Ovis aries: one gene and its partners. The protein of the gene in region 1 purifies or fractionates together with the protein of each later gene. This does not show direct contact. Links are inferred from orthologs where the notes say so. Each region holds a gene or a part of one and is shown in the gene's direction. Other genes may lie near its edges.

Region 1 (4,297 bases):
TTCTACCCTATTGACTGCTCAGTTAACATACAGAAGTGATAAAGTTGTAATTCAGGTTTTCTATCATCCTAAATTTGTGAAATGTACTAGCCTTTCGAATTAAAAATTCACAAATACGTTCGATAGATACTAAAGCACCTTGCAGTAGCTCAGACTACCAAAGCAGTGGTTATTTTATCTTTTGGAGTGCATGCCATTAGAAGGAAAAAACTATAACCAATAGGTAAGATATCTAATGAGTAAGTGACACAGCTGAAACATGGCGCACGGGAGCATGGAAGAAGACATTTGAATTACAAAGCTGAAGAAAGCCTTTGAGATTCTTAGCTTGGAGTCCACTGGTGTACCTCAGGGACCCCAGAACCACCCTGAGGTACAATTCTATCTTGCCTTTTTTCTTCAGAAATGCTCCAGTGCTTTGTACAATTTCTCAAAGGATCCTGTGACCTAAGAAAATAAAGGTTAGAAGTCCTTGATCTAATTCCAGAATTCAGAGAAAATGGAAGCCTGCTGTTTGAATCACACCGTAAATGAATGGCAGAGATGTGTCCTAGGACCCACTCATAACATTTGTATGCTTTCTGCCACCTTGAGCTCTAGCCCATCACTAGCTGCAATTCATTGAGTTGTCTCTCAGTGTCAAGGTCTCGAAAAGCCTTTGCCCTTGCCTCCTATTTGAGGTAAGGGAATCTGGGCTGCAAACATGAAGCATTTTGCAGCCAGAAGACCTCAGCCTCAAACAGGAAGCGTCCTCTCTGGGTAGGGAGACAACAAGCCAGAGAGTCTATCAACCCCAGCAGCGGATGTGTAGTCATACTGAGGTCCCGGGGGACCGGACTGAGAGCTAGAGCTTTGGCCTCGGCTTGCTGGGTACCGTTACATATGTATGTTATATGTTAGTCGCTCAGTCGTGCCCGACTCTTTTCGACCCCCATGGACAGCAGTCCACAAGGTCCCTCTGTCCATGAGATTTTCCAGACAAGGATACTGGAGTGGGTTGCCATTTCCTTCTCCAGGGGATCTTCCCAACCCAAGGATCGAACCCAGGTCTCCTGCACTGCAGGCAAATTCTTTACTGACTGAGCTACAAGGGAAGCCCACGCAAATCATTTCCCGGGTCTAAGATTGGGTTTTCCAGGTGTTAAGAGCTCAAAGGCCACGCCCCTAAATCCTTCAGGACGCGTGGAGGGCGTGGCTTAGCGAAACCCACGCCCCCTCGTCGCCCTACGTACTGCGTGACGTCCGCCGACGCCTAGTTAACCGCAGTGAGGTCATCGCCCTCCGCCTCAGGGAGCCGACACTCCACGTCCGAGGCGGGGCCTGCGTCTAGGCTCCAGACTGCCTCTGCCCCGCCCCAGCCGCGCCTCCTCGAGGACGGTCCAGCGCATCACGTGACGGGTCCGCGGCGCTGGCGGTTGCTGTCAGCTGATCCCCGGCTTGGAGGCAGCGGCAGCAGTGGCGATGGACTTTCTCCTGGGGAACCCGTTCAGCTCTCCGGTGGGACAGCGCATCGGTGAGTCTCCGGGGCCCCGCGCAGGCCCAGCGCAGCACTCCGCATTCGACCCCGGCCCCCCAGGGTACCTCCAGGTCCCGAGTCACACACCAGAGGGAGGCAGGGAGGGGAGTGAGGCTGGCGTGTCTCTCTCAGACCCGGCCCCGCCCTGCCTCCCGCCTGCTTTGATTGACAAAAGCCACTGTCCACTAGGAAGCTTCGGATTGTGATGGATGCCCACGGAAGCCAATAAATAAAGAGGGGAGGCGGGCCCGGGCGGCCGCGGCTCAGCCAATGTGCAGCTGCTGGGGTCGCGAATCCAGGCAGAAAGTTTTAGGGGTTAAAGGGACTGCGTGGTTTTTGCAGTGTTTGGGTCCCTCGATGGTTTCTGTCATCGCCTCCCCCGCACGGGTTGCGCCACCTGGGCTCTTGCCATTTCCTTCCTGGCTCGTCTGGAGTTGCGAACACGGATACCTGAGAAGGGCTGGAAGTCCATTCTCAAGGACCAGGAGGCTGGGGCTTTGCGGCCTGGCGGGCAGGCGGCTGGGAGCCCTTCCTCCACCAAGCCGGGGCTAGACGCTAGGGAGCCCACCCCACGAGAAGGCCAGGCCAAATCCTCAGGAACTGCCGGCCATAGCCGCCTCACCAGCCGGCACCGAATGGACCGCGTGGAGTCGCAGACTTGGAGCTGGAAAGGATCTTCGAAACCACCTGATTTCAGCCTCCCTCATTTCTCAGCAGATGGGAGGCCCAAGCCCTCTGGGCGAGACACAGGCTCACTCAAGAGCCCAGGCTCCTGACTCTCTTGGCACCTGTTGAGCGGAGGCTTAGTAATGGTGCGGCGTTGGCTGTCTGTAGAGAGGATCCCTCCCCAGTGATTAGGGGATAATAATGATCCCTGCCTCCTTGGGGTTGTTTAGGTTAAACTCGTTCATAAGTGTGAAGGATTTAGTGCCTTCCACGTGGCAGATGCTCTGTAAAAGAAGGTGGTAATATTTATTGTTACTGAGACACCACCAAGTGCGGGTTCCAAAATCCTGAGAATGGCTAGACAGTTGGTCTCACAGACACTCATTCCTGCCCACCAACTCAGAGAGGACCCACAGGCCATGGCCGGGACACTTCTCCAGAACAGTCTGGTTGTGCTTCCTCGCCTGAATAAATCGAGGGAAGTACTGTGAAAGCCTCTCTCCATCTTTTTGATGATTTTTAGCCTTAAGTCCAGACTGGGAAAACTGGATCTTTTAGACAATACATTCTTTTCATTCTTGGTGCCTTAGAAGTCAAACCTCACTTAAGTCTGTTAACCCAGCTCTGTGTTGAAATCGCTGCCTGTGGCTGTTTGTGGCTCTTTTGAGGTTTTGTAATCAAATGTATTCAAGAGGATGCTGTCAGTAGAGTATTTACACACCAGGAAGTTCCTGGATCTGAGAGGGGCAGCTGCTCTCTCAGGACCCTCACCCACCTGCTACACAAACAGACACACACACTGATGAGTCATTGTTTGGGACTGAAAAGAGAAGGCAGTTCATCTCTTGTCTGTATTTCTCCAACTGCAGAAACCTCTGCTTTTATCACATGTCAAATTTGAGACTTCCTACACACCCACCCCCCAAAAAAGAAAAAAATTCTGGTTCACAGGCAGCCAAATATGCCTGAGTCTTTCTAGAAAAGCTCTTTGGGACTCCAGGCTTGAGGTAGTCAAACAAAAGAGCTTCTCTTCTTACCCTGAAGGGTTACCTGTCTTGGGCAAGAAATATTCAGTCCAAAGAGCATGCTACTAAACTCTTAGTCCCTTAGAGCACAGACCGTGTTTTACTGCAGGAACAGTCCTTATCCTAGGGCTCTTCTAATCCAGGGCTATCATCAGAATCCCCTGGAAGACTTGTTAAAGCATCAAAGGCCGGGCCCCACCCCCAGAGTTTGTGACTGTAGACCTGAGGTGGCCACCAGATTGAAAACCTCCATTGTAGCCCATCCCCTTCATTCTACACTGGAGACTGAGGCCAAGAGAGGGAAGGTGGAAAATAGGACTCACCCAAGACCCCAGTGATGTGGTCAGAAAGCTGAGAAGAACCCCTCTGAGTCCGTGAAATCTGAACCAAAGCTGAAGAGGCTCTAAAAGTACTATTAAATGAATAATGTCTGCTATTTGAGTTAATACCCTCAGTATTCCTTTTCTTCACCCCCGGGGTGTGGGGGAGCAACAGCCCTGATCAGCTGTAATTACTAATGACCTAGTATGAGCTGCTTTCATTTCTATAAACTGCAGGATTGAAATAATCTCTTCTCAAGCCTGCCGACTTCATCCCCCGGTTGAGCATAGAGCCCTGTCCAGTTGGCAGCACTGAGCACAGTAGGTCGTGATGGTCTAAATCAGAGCTCAGTGTCTCTCGACTCAGAAAGTTTCCAGTCACCCATTCACACCCCTTTCTGCTTGCTGCTCCCTCTGCCTGGAATGCCTGCTGCCAGTGCCTCCTTAAAGTTCCAGGCATCATCACCTACTCCAGGAGGCCTTCGCTGACCCCTTCAAATCCAGCCGTTGTTTTTGTGCCCTCCCATCACCCTAGCTCCTCAGGCTCACTCCCTGTCTGCCTTTGGGCTCTGCTTCCTGGGTGCAATGGTGGTTATGGCAGCATCCATTTCTCAGAGTGGTTGTGAGAGTGAAGTGAGATGCTCTCTGGAGAGGGCCTGGCACATTATTAGTTTGCAGAATACATCGTCATCATTTTTATTATTTTCACTGACGTCACACTAATAAAGCACCGTGGCATTCTGTTAGTAGTTGTGCGTGTGTTTCCCCTG
Region 2 (3,565 bases), on another chromosome or scaffold:
AGACTTCCTACTAAATTCCTTTGTCTAGTGTCAAATTTAGAATCTGTTTATTACTGACTTTTAAAACAGGTTGAAGAGGAAAATGCGTTTTTCTTGCTTTTTGCTTTTTTTTTTTTAAGAACTCTTTTCAGTTTTGTTTCTTGGTAACATAATGCCATTCTTTTTTTTTTTTAAAACCATAGGTGAATCCAAGTCGACTGCCGGTGGTTATTGGGGGATTACTTGATGTTGATTGCTCTGAAGATGTCATTAAAAATTTGATTCTTGTTGTAAGAGGTCAATTCTCTACTGATGAGCTTGTTGCTGAAGTTGAAAAAAGAAACAGGTGTAGTACTATTTTAATATTCACAAGTAGGATAAATTATTAGTCTCTCCTAGCATTGTATTAAATAGAAGTATAACCTGTCCGTTGCCTAAAACTACTCAGTACTCATGGATCTTAATTCCCTAGAGATGCCTAATTTAGAAGTGATAAGCTAGCTGTAACTTGCTGTATACGGCTGTCATATAGAATATCTGTTAATCTAGTCATTCACCTTTTTTTGATTAATTAATTTTAATTGGAGGATAATTTCTTTACAATACTGTGGTGGTTTTTGCCATACATCGACATGAATCACCCATGGGTGCACATGTGAGTCCCCTTCCTGAACCCCCCTCCCAACTCCCTCCCCACCTTATCCCTCTGGGTTGTCCCAGAGCATCAGCTTTGAGTGCCCTGCTTCACGCCTTGAACTTGCACTGGTCATCTGTTTTACATACAGTAATACACATGCTTCAGTGCTTTTCTCTCAAGTCTTCCCACCCTTGCATTTTCCCACAGAGTCCAAAAGCCTGTTCCTTACATCTTGTGTCTCTTTTGCCACCTTGCATATAGCATCTTTACCGTCTTTACTGTATTGGTATTTCTCTTTCTGACTTACTTCACTCTGTATGATAGGCTCCAGTTTCATCTACCTCCTTAGAACTGACTCAGATGAATTCTTTTTTAGAGCTGAGTAGTATTCCATTGTGCATATGTACCACAGCTTCCTTATCCATTCATCTGCGTATGGACATCTAGGTGGCTTCCATGTCCTAGCTGTGGTAAACAGTGCTGCAGTGAACATTGGGGTACACGTGTCTCTTTCAGTTCTGGTTTCCTTGATGTGTATGCCCACCAGTGGGATGGCTGGGTCATACGGCAGTTCTGTTTCCACTTTTTTAATGAATCGCCACACTGTTCTCTGTAGTGGCTGTACCACTTGGCATTCCTACCAGCAGTGTAAGAGGGTTCCCTTTTCTCCACACCCTGTCCAGCATTCGTTGTTTGTAGACTTTTTGATGGCGGCCATTCTTATAAATGTGAGATGATGTCTCGCTATGGTTTTGATTTGCATTTCTCTAGTAATGAGTGTTCACCTTCTTTTTGCATGTTTATAATTACATTAAGTCAAACCACACAGCTATGTGTTTTTAATGTAAACTATGTAAAAAGCCTCCTTTTAGGTATGATACCTAGTAACTAATTACTCTCTGGTAAATAATCAAGTATGACAAGAGAAAAACATTCCCTGTATAACTCTGAGTTAAACTTATTTTTAAGTTGAACCTTGATATAATATGAGTTAGGAATTTCCAATAGAAGAGAACATAATATGAGTGCTTCTGATAGTTAGATCATGAAGTCTTTTTTTTAGCCAGGACATTGTGTGTTCACAAAGTGCTGACATAGTAAATGAGGTTAGTGAGAAGTAATGAGGTTAAGTAGGAAGTTCCTCTAGCAATGAAACCATCTCAAGAATAGGGTTTAATTTTAACCTGAGTTGGTACAAGTGTTCTACTAATGGAAATTTATAACATAATTTATATCTAAATGTTTCAAGCTAAATGTTTCAGAAAATGTTTGAAAAATTCTGCACTTAAGGACAATGGAGATGTAGAATATAATACTGAGTTTTATTTTTTTAAAGCTTGAGACTGATTTAAAGTGATTATTGTATAGTTGCTAAGTCGTATCCAACTCTTCTGTGACACCATGGACTATAGCCTACCAGGCGCCTCTTTCCGTGGATTTCTTGTAACTATTTAACATGTTATTTAAACCATGGTAAGAGTGTTGGTCATCTGAACCATTGGAAAATAAGCTATAACTTAGCAAAACCATGGCCCTTGGTGGAGTGATTGATTTTATGACTGCTAGAATTTTACCAGATTTTGTTCCCAGTTATGTGTTTACTTACGTTACTGCTTCTTTTTGCTGTATGTAATGTTGCATGGTAATTGTGGTAAAATTAAAAGGAACCGCAGATAATGTGGCTTGTTTTCTCATACCACATCTCTGTCCTACTCCTAAGCAATATTACTCAGAGGTCCAGCCATTTGCCCCATATGAAAAAGAATAATCTGTGAATCTGTAGTCTCTTCTCTCCATATCCTGTCTAGATAATGTAGCAGATAGGTCTGGGAGAGTATGAAGGACAGTCTTATATACCTTCTGTGTAACATTGGACAAATCCTTTAACCATCTCTGAGTCCTAATTTCTCAGTTTCTGATAGAAATGTTGAGAATTCAAAATAGGGTATGGGAAAGCACTTTATAGACCATAAGGTACATAGCATGTCAAGAGTGTGTTATTTATAATATAGTATATGTATATGTGGGTTTTTTTGTGTGTTTCTTTTCTTGTTTTATTTTTTTACTAGATTGAAACTGCTTCTGCCTTGGCTGGAGGCCAGAATTCATGAGGGCTGTGAAGAGCCTGCTACTCATAATGCATTAGCCAAAATCTACATAGACAGTAATAACAATCCAGAGCGGTTTCTTCGGGAAAATCCTTACTATGACAGTCGTGTTGTTGGAAAGTATTGTGAGAAGAGAGATCCGCATCTGGCCTGTGTTGCTTATGAGCGTGGCCAGTGTGATCTGGAGCTTATCAATGTGAGTACTGCCAGCTGACATATAGAGAAGACAGCATTTTTAAAACCTGTTACATAATGTTAGACTAGTGAATTTTGAGAGTTTCAGAGTGGTTTTAGGTAATATGGAGCATTTTTAGAAGGTACACGCTTTTTTTAAAAAAAACTGCTGATAATTATGAACTTAAACTGGCCAAAGTAGTTGATTACATTTATATTCACCCATTGACATTTACGCCCCGGTTTTATCGCGTATGTTCTCATACACTCATATGTACACATACATGTATATATTTTTTACATATACGTGTATATGTATAGGCACATCTAACCTTTTAACCTTATGAGAATAAGTTGCGTACCTCATGGCTTTATAACCCTTCAGTGAGTATTTCCTAGGAATAAGGGTATTCTCTTTCATGACCACATTATGGATAGCAACCTCAGTCAGTCTGATACTGGTAGAATACTGTTAAAAATCTGTTTCGTTCTGATTTTGTCAATTGACCTGAGAATGTTTTTTAAAAGAAAATTTTCCCTTTAGTCTAGGATTACATACTGCTTGTACGTGTCATATCTTTCATGTCTCTTTTAACCTGAAACACTTCTTCAGCCTTTGTCTTTTAGTGACAGACATAATTGGAAAAATAGTCTTTTTCTCTTTTTT
Region 3 (3,565 bases), on another chromosome or scaffold:
CTTTGGGATTAGAATGAAAACTGACCTTTTCCAGTCCTGTGGCCACTGCTGAGTTTTCCAAATTTGCTGGCATATTGAGTACAGCACTTTCACAGCATCATCTTTTAGGGTTTGAAATATCTCAACTGGAATTCCATCACCTCCACTAGCTTTGTTCTTAGTGATGCTTCCTCAGGCCCACGTGACTTCGCATTCCAGGATATCTGGCTCTAGGTGAGTGATCACACCATTGTGATTATCTGGGTCATGAAGATCTTTTTTTGTGTAGTTCTTCTGTGTATTCTTGCCACCTCTTAATATCGTCTGCTTCTGTTGGGTCCATACTGTTTCTGTCCTTTATTGAACCCATCTTTGCATGAAATGTTCCCTTGGTAGCTCTAATTTTCTTGAAGAGATCTCTAGTCCTATTCTATTGTTTTCCTGTATTTCTTTGCAGTGATCACTGAGGAAGGCTTTCTTATCTCTCCTTGGTGTTCTTTGGAACTCTGCATTCAGATGCTTATATCTTTCCTTTTCTCCTTTGTCTTTTGCTGCTCTCCTTTTCTCAGGTATTTGTAAGGCCTCCTCAGACAACCATTTTGCCTTTTTGCATTTCTTTTTCTTGGGGATGGTCTTTATCACTGCCTCCTGTACAATGTCACAAACCTCGGTTCATAGTTCTTCAGGCACTCTGTCTGTCAGATCTAATCCCTTGAATCTGTTTGTCCCTTCCACTGTATAATCATAAGGGATTTTATTTAGGTCATACCTGAATGGTTTAGTGATTTTCCCTACTTTCTTCAATTTGGCAATAAGGGGTTCATGATCTGAGCCACAGTCAGCTCCCAGTCTTGTTTTTGCTGGCTGTATAGAGCTTCTCCATCTTTGGCTGCAAAGAATATAATCAGTCTGATTTCAGTTTTGACCATCTGGTGATGTCCATGTGTAGAGTTGTCTCTTGTGTTGTTTGAAGAGGGTGTTTGCTGTGACCAGTGTGTTCTCTTGGTGAAACTCTATTAAATCTATGTCCTGCTTCATTCCGCATTCCAAGGCCAAATTTGCTTGTTACTCCAGGTGTTTCTTGACTTCCTACTTTTGCATTCCAGTCCCCTCTAATGCAAAGGACATTTTTTATGGGTGTTAGTTCTAGGAGGTCTTGTAGGTTTTCATAGAACTGTTCAACTTCAGCTTCTTTAGCATTACTGCTCCAGTCATAGCCTTGGATTACCGGGATATTGAATGGTTTGCCTTGAAAACAAACAGATCATTCTGTCGTTTTTGAGATTGCATCCAAGTATTGCATTTTGGATTCTTTTGTTGACTATGATGGCGACTCCATTTCTTCTAAGGGATTCTTGCCCAGAGTAGTAGATGTAATGGTCATCTGAGTTAAATTCACCCATTTCAGTCCACTTCAGTTCACTGATTACTAAAATGTCAATGTTCACTCTTGCCGTCTCCTGTTTGACCACTTCCAGTTTGCCTTGATTCATGGACCTAGCATTCCAGGTTCCTTGCAATATTGCTCTGTATAGCATAGGACTTTACTTCTATCACCAGTCACATCTACAACTGGATGTTGCTTTTGCTTTGGCTCCGTCTCTTCTTTTCTTTCTGGAGTTATTTCTCCACTGATCTCCAGTAACGTATTGGGCACCTACAGACTGGGGGAGTTCCCGTGGACCACATTTTGTCAGACATCTCCACCATGACCTGTCCGTCTTGGGCAGCCCTAGAGGGCATGGCTTATAGTTTCATTAGACAAGGTAGACAAGGCTGTTGTCCATGTGATCAGATTGGTTAATTTTCTGTGATTGTGGTTTTCATTCTGTCTGGCTCTGGTGGAGAAGGATAAGAGGCTTATGCCAGCTTCCTGATGGGAGAGACTGAGGGGGAAACTGGATCTTGTTCTGAGGGTGGGGCCATGCTCAGTAAATCTTTAATCCAATTTTCTGTTGATGAGCAGAGCTGTGTTCCCTCCCTGTTATTTGACCTGAGGCCAAAACTATTGAAGTAATCTTACAGAGTTACACAAGCCATCTTACACAGTTCAGTTTAAGTTTTGTGAGAACATTGGGGAAATAAGGAGTTTGAAAAGTTGTACTTCATGCAAAGGACAATTAGAAGTTGACATTTTTAAAAAAAAATTAAAAAAAAAAAAAGAAGTTGACATTTATAGTTGTATGGTTTTGTCACTTAAGATTCCTCAGACAAATACTGGTACTTCTCAACCAATGGATTGCATGGCTTGGGACAGGCAGAAATTATTATTCTATTGTTATGTTTGCCAAATGAAGATACTATTCCTAAGGACATCTTCAGACTGTTCATCACCATTTATAAGGATGCTCTGAAAGGTACAGTATTTTATTTTTAACTGTTCAGACCAGGGGATGGATAAATGAGGGGCATTTTTGCTTTTAGCAGTGCTAACTGTACTAAAGGTTTATTTTATGAAGAGATTACTGATTACTTAAAAGAGCTTAGTCATCATTTTCAGTCTCCTTAAATCTAGCATTTTATGTAACTAGTGTCTTTATTGTTTTTTTTTTCTATTTTAAAAGGTAAAATATATTTACTTTCTTGATCTTTTTATGCGTCTACACAGTAGTCCCCCTTTATCTGCAGGGGATAAGTTCCAAGACCCCAGTGGCTGCCTAAAACTGGAAATGGTACTGAACCCTATTGTACTATTTTTCTGTAGTATATATATACTATATGAAAAATAGCATATATGTATATATACTATAAATATATATATATGTGTGCTGTGCTTAGTTGCTCAGTTGTGTCTGACTCTTTACGACCCTATGGACTGCAGCCTACCAGGCTCCTCTGTCCATGGAGATTGTCCAGGCAAGAATACTAGAGTGGGTTGTGATGCCTTCCTCCAGTGGATCTTCCCAACCCAGGGATCGAACTCAGGTCTTCTGTATTGCAGGCGGATTTTTTACTGTCTGAGCCACCAGAGACGTCCAAGAATACTGGAGTGGGTAGCCTATCCTGTCCCTTCACAGGAGGGCTTCCCGACCCAGGAATCGAACCAGGGACTCCTGCATTGCAGGCGGATTCTTTATCAGCTGAGCTACTGGGAAAGCCACACACACACCACACACATACTATTTTTTCATACATATCTATGATGAAGTTTAATTTATAAATTAGGCAGAGTAAGAGAACATCTGAATTGCCAGCATCACTTCTCTTGTGCCTTGGGGGCAATATTAAAAAAATAAGTGTTACCTGAACAGAAGCACAGTGACTGTTAACAGTTGATCTAATAACAGAGACTACTGCTGAGTGACTAATGGCCTGTAGCATATACAGTGTGAACATGCTGGGCAGATGACCGAAGGTGTGGTTCACATCCCAGTGGGGCAGAGCAAGATAGCAAGAGATTTATGTAATTTTCCAGTTAATATTTTTGGACCACAGTTGACCAGAGGTAACTTAAACCATAGAAAGGCTGTATAAGATTTGGGGAACATGATGACTTTTCACTTGACCTTGAAGTAAGGAGAAAAATTTAAAAACACCTATGGTTAGAAACATTCTCAAATTTCTGTTCACAATTTCCAGTCCTCAG
Region 4 (3,565 bases), on another chromosome or scaffold:
CCTTAGTGTGACCTTCCAGCTGCCGGTCAAGGCAGCTTCGTGAGGGGCTCCCACACACCAGAGCAGGGTGGCAGTGGTTTGCAGGTGAGGGGAAAGCCCCACAGGGGATAGGTCTCCCCTGGGACCACCCACCAGGTCTGGAGCCTGGGTCTGCTTGCCCTCTAGAGACCCTGGTGTCTCCGTGTCTCCTGATTCCAGCAAACCAACACTGGGGAAGGCTGGGCTGTCAGCCACTCTAGGTGTCTCTTCCCTGGGAACACACCTATCACTCAGCACCCAGGAGCTTGTGTTATCCTGGATGCTAGAGACAGAAGGCTGAAGGGCTGTGACCCCTGCATCTGTGTCCACATCCACAGCACCCAACATGAGCTCTGCCAACGCAGGCCAGAGACCTTTTGTTTGTTTGGCCAAGACACGCATGGCGTCTCACCTCCCTGACTTGGGATTGAATCTGCACCCCGTGCGTTGGAAGGTGAAGTCATGGCGCCTGGACTGCCAGGGAAGCCCCTAGGCCCAGAGACTTTGCAGACACCGGGTGGCTGGAAGCAGTGAGTGTCTGGCGCAGTAGGCGTCCAGGCCCAGAGGTGAGGGCTCAGCCAAGGCCTGGCTGAAAGGGGAGCTAGGGGGCTGGGCCTCCGTGCTGGAGGCGGCTGGAAGCTTGGGCACGTGGGTGCCATTCTGAGCAGGATCCCAGGGTGGTGGGCCAGGACACCTGTGTGTGGGCCTGACTGTTCCCTCCTCATCCTCACCTGTCGCCCTCCAGCATCGACGTGCTGGGCTCCGTGCCCCCTTCCAGCCAGAGGCGCTACCGCAACTGGAACCCCCCACTGTTGGGCAACCTCCCCGAAGACTTTCTCCGCATCCTGCCCCAGCAGCTGGACAGCATACAGGTAATGGGGGTGCCCCCGCCCCCAGCCTGTGCAGCGTCTCTCTGTTCGCGCCAGTCACTGACCCTCCCTGACGTTTAAGCCCAGGCTAAGCTGCCCTGGGGTGGTACGGAAAGAAGGCTGAGCCAAAAGCCTCCTTCCCCATCGGGGCCTGTAAGGTTTCCCCTTCCGCTTAGGAAGGGGACCGCCCTGAGGATACTCTCTGGCAAATGGCATCACCCTAGGGTGGCAGGAGTTGGGCAGGGGCAGGGTGGGGGGTCACTCAGTGACAGAAAGGCAGAGCACCTTCCTTCCTTCCTTCCTTCCCCGGGGAGAGGGCCAGGGTGCTTCTCGCCAGAGGCTGGCCCTTGCAAGCAGTCTCCTCTGAGATGGCCAGGACAAGGAAAGTATGAGTATGGGGACTCTGAGCCATTTGAAGATCACTCTTCAGGACTATTCAGGTTTTGACGAAGGGCATGCTGGTGGGAAGGTCCAAGGTGTCAAGCTGGGGAGGTGGAGAGTAGTTCCTAAGCCCCTGATGCTTCCTCAGCACAGAGGGCTCTGGTCTGTTACGTTGAGTCTTGGCTAACAGCTCGCTCTGGGTGGAGGAGGTCCTGGCCTCAGGGCGTGGCTGCAGCATCCCGGGAAGGACGCTTGTACCCCCGGTGCGCATGGGTGTTGGTGCGGCGTGCGCCCTTGTGAGTAGGGGGTCCGTGTGCTTGCTCCCTGCTCAGGCCACCTCCAGGGGCTCCAAGCTCGCAAGCACGGAGGGAAGCCTGCCGCCCGTGGCGGGGCCTGAGCCCCGGGACCAGGAGAGCCGCTGGAAGCAGTACCTGGAGGACGAGAGGATCGCGCTCTTCCTGCAGAACGAGGAGTTCATGAAGGAGCTGCAGCGCAACCGGGACTTCCTGCTCGCCCTGGAGAGAGGTGGTGCCCTGGGCCAGGGCAGCCGGGCCGGGGCGAGGGGTGTCGGCCGTAGCCTGGGGCTCCGAGCCGGAGGTCTGAGTTGTCCAGGAGAAAGTATGAAAGCGTGAGTCGCTCAGTCATGTCGCTCTTTGCGACCGCATGGACTGTAGCCCACCAGGCTCCTCTGTCCATGGGATTCTCCAGGCAAGAGTACTGGAGTTGCCCTGCCCTCCTCCAGGAGATCTTCCCTACCCAGGGATGGAACCCACGTCTCTCATGTCTCCTGCACTGGCAGGCAGGTTCTTTACGCCTAGCGCTGCCTGGGAAGCAGAGTTCTGCTCACAGGGACCTGAGTCATCGGGACTTAGCGGGAGTGCGGGGCGCCCTCTGGGCTCTGCCCCTCCTTGCGCCCCCGCACTTCTGCTCTGTGCCAGGCGCTGGCGGCTGCCCTGTGCGACGGGAGCTCCAGCAGTAGAGGGACTGTGTGGCTGGGTGCCAGGGTGCGTTCCTCCCTGAGCCGAGGACGTTAGAGCAGGGCCTCTGGAGGGTTTGGGGGTGTTGGGGTTGTTTCTGGGCCAAGGATCCTACTCCTCCTAGCCTGGCTGCCTTCCCCCTTTAGAGTGGTAAGGTTTGGGGTGGCGCACAGTGAGGGGCCTGTGGGAGAGAGGTGTTGTGTGTACACGTGTGTGTGACTGGCAGTGTGTTTTGGTCAGGAACATGGTGTGCAGGGGAAAGTCTGGCCTGAGACAGAGGAGCCGAAGGCTGGTCCCAGCTCTGCAGTAAAGATGCTGGTGGGAGTCTCCAGGCCTTTCCTTTTAGATGAAGGGCTGGACACTCCAGTTTCTCAGGGGCCTGTTAATTTTGACATTCTCACCTTCCAGGCAGTGCTTTCTGTGTCTTTGAGAGTTCTGGTTCTTTGAGAGCCCATAGGTGTCGCGTGTGCACGTGTGTGTGTGTGTGTGTGTGTGTGTGTGTGTGTGTGTGTGTTTCTCAGGGTTTGGCCTCCAACCACCTCTCAGCTCAGGCGGCCCTGGGTGTGAGCTAGCTTCCCTGACCAGACTGTGGGCCTTTTCCAGATCGACTGAAATACGAGTCCCAGAAATCATCCAGCAGCGTGGCCGTGGGAAATGACTTTGACTTCCCCTCTCCTGTCCCAGGTAACCTTGCCTGAGAGAGAGAGAGAGAGAGAGAGAGAGAGAGAGAGGGGCCTGGAGGGTGTGGGGGGCTCACAGCCCAGGGGTGTCTGCATATTTGGAGTTTGGAGAGAGGGTGGGGAACAGGCTGCAGAGGATGGTTTTGCCCTATCAGCATATGCCCGAGAGGGGTGAGACGGGCCCTCCCCTCGGCAGCCCTGGTTCCTGCCAACCCAGCGGCTGATGAAGCCCTCACCTGGGGCAGGCCTGCAGACTCGCTCCACTCCTTAGAGGCACTTGGAGCCTGGGCAAGAAGGGGACACAGCACACCACATAATGTCCCATAGGGTGCCGGGGCTGGCAAGGGACTCAGAGACCCAGGCACTGCCCCAGGGGAGCTTATGGTCTTGTGGGGAGTGCAGGAGATGCCTCCAAGAAACAGGGAGCCCGAACCAGCAAAGCTGAGGACGCTTGTTAATTATAGCAAGCACATGCTGGGGGACAGGGAGGGTCCATCTGGGGAAGGTTCATTCATTCATTCGGTAGCTGGGGACTGTCTCCCCCAGGCCAGGCCCAGCCTTAGTATTGGAAGAAGAGAATTTTGAAAGTTTTATATACAAGACGGGGAGAAGCAGGAATTGCCCAAGCGGCTGAAGGAGG

What was found.
Region 2: the proteins of TOM1 (region 1) and CLTC purify together in Homo sapiens (affinity purification with western blotting, with the first as the bait; 3 studies listed by BioGRID). This does not show direct contact. The link is inferred for Ovis aries from reciprocal best matches to the Homo sapiens genes TOM1 and CLTC.
Region 3: the proteins of TOM1 (region 1) and ZFYVE16 purify together in Homo sapiens (affinity purification with western blotting; 3 studies listed by BioGRID and IntAct, with this or other methods). This does not show direct contact. The link is inferred for Ovis aries from reciprocal best matches to the Homo sapiens genes TOM1 and ZFYVE16.
Region 4: the proteins of TOM1 (region 1) and CUEDC1 purify together in Homo sapiens (co-immunoprecipitation; 3 studies listed by BioGRID and IntAct, with this or other methods). This does not show direct contact. The link is inferred for Ovis aries from reciprocal best matches to the Homo sapiens genes TOM1 and CUEDC1.

Annotation. Positions count from the first base shown.
Region 1 is NC_056056.1:179,160,763-179,165,059, forward strand, and holds the start of TOM1 (target of Myb1 membrane trafficking protein), read left to right. Parts: upstream 1-1,434; 5' UTR 1,435-1,461; coding exon 1,462-1,513; intron 1,514-4,297.
Region 2 is NC_056064.1:10,332,136-10,335,700, forward strand, and holds part of CLTC (clathrin heavy chain 1), read left to right. Parts: intron 1-182; coding exon 183-325; intron 326-2,685; coding exon 2,686-2,920; intron 2,921-3,565. UniProt on the Homo sapiens protein: Clathrin is the major protein of the polyhedral coat of coated pits and vesicles. Two different adapter protein complexes link the clathrin lattice either to the plasma membrane or to the trans-Golgi network.
Region 3 is NC_056058.1:78,172,675-78,176,239, forward strand, and holds part of ZFYVE16 (zinc finger FYVE domain-containing protein 16), read left to right. Parts: intron 1-2,180; coding exon 2,181-2,336; intron 2,337-3,565.
Region 4 is NC_056064.1:8,369,599-8,373,163, reverse strand, and holds part of CUEDC1 (CUE domain-containing protein 1), read left to right. Parts: intron 1-763; coding exon 764-890; intron 891-1,600; coding exon 1,601-1,793; intron 1,794-2,848; coding exon 2,849-2,929; intron 2,930-3,565.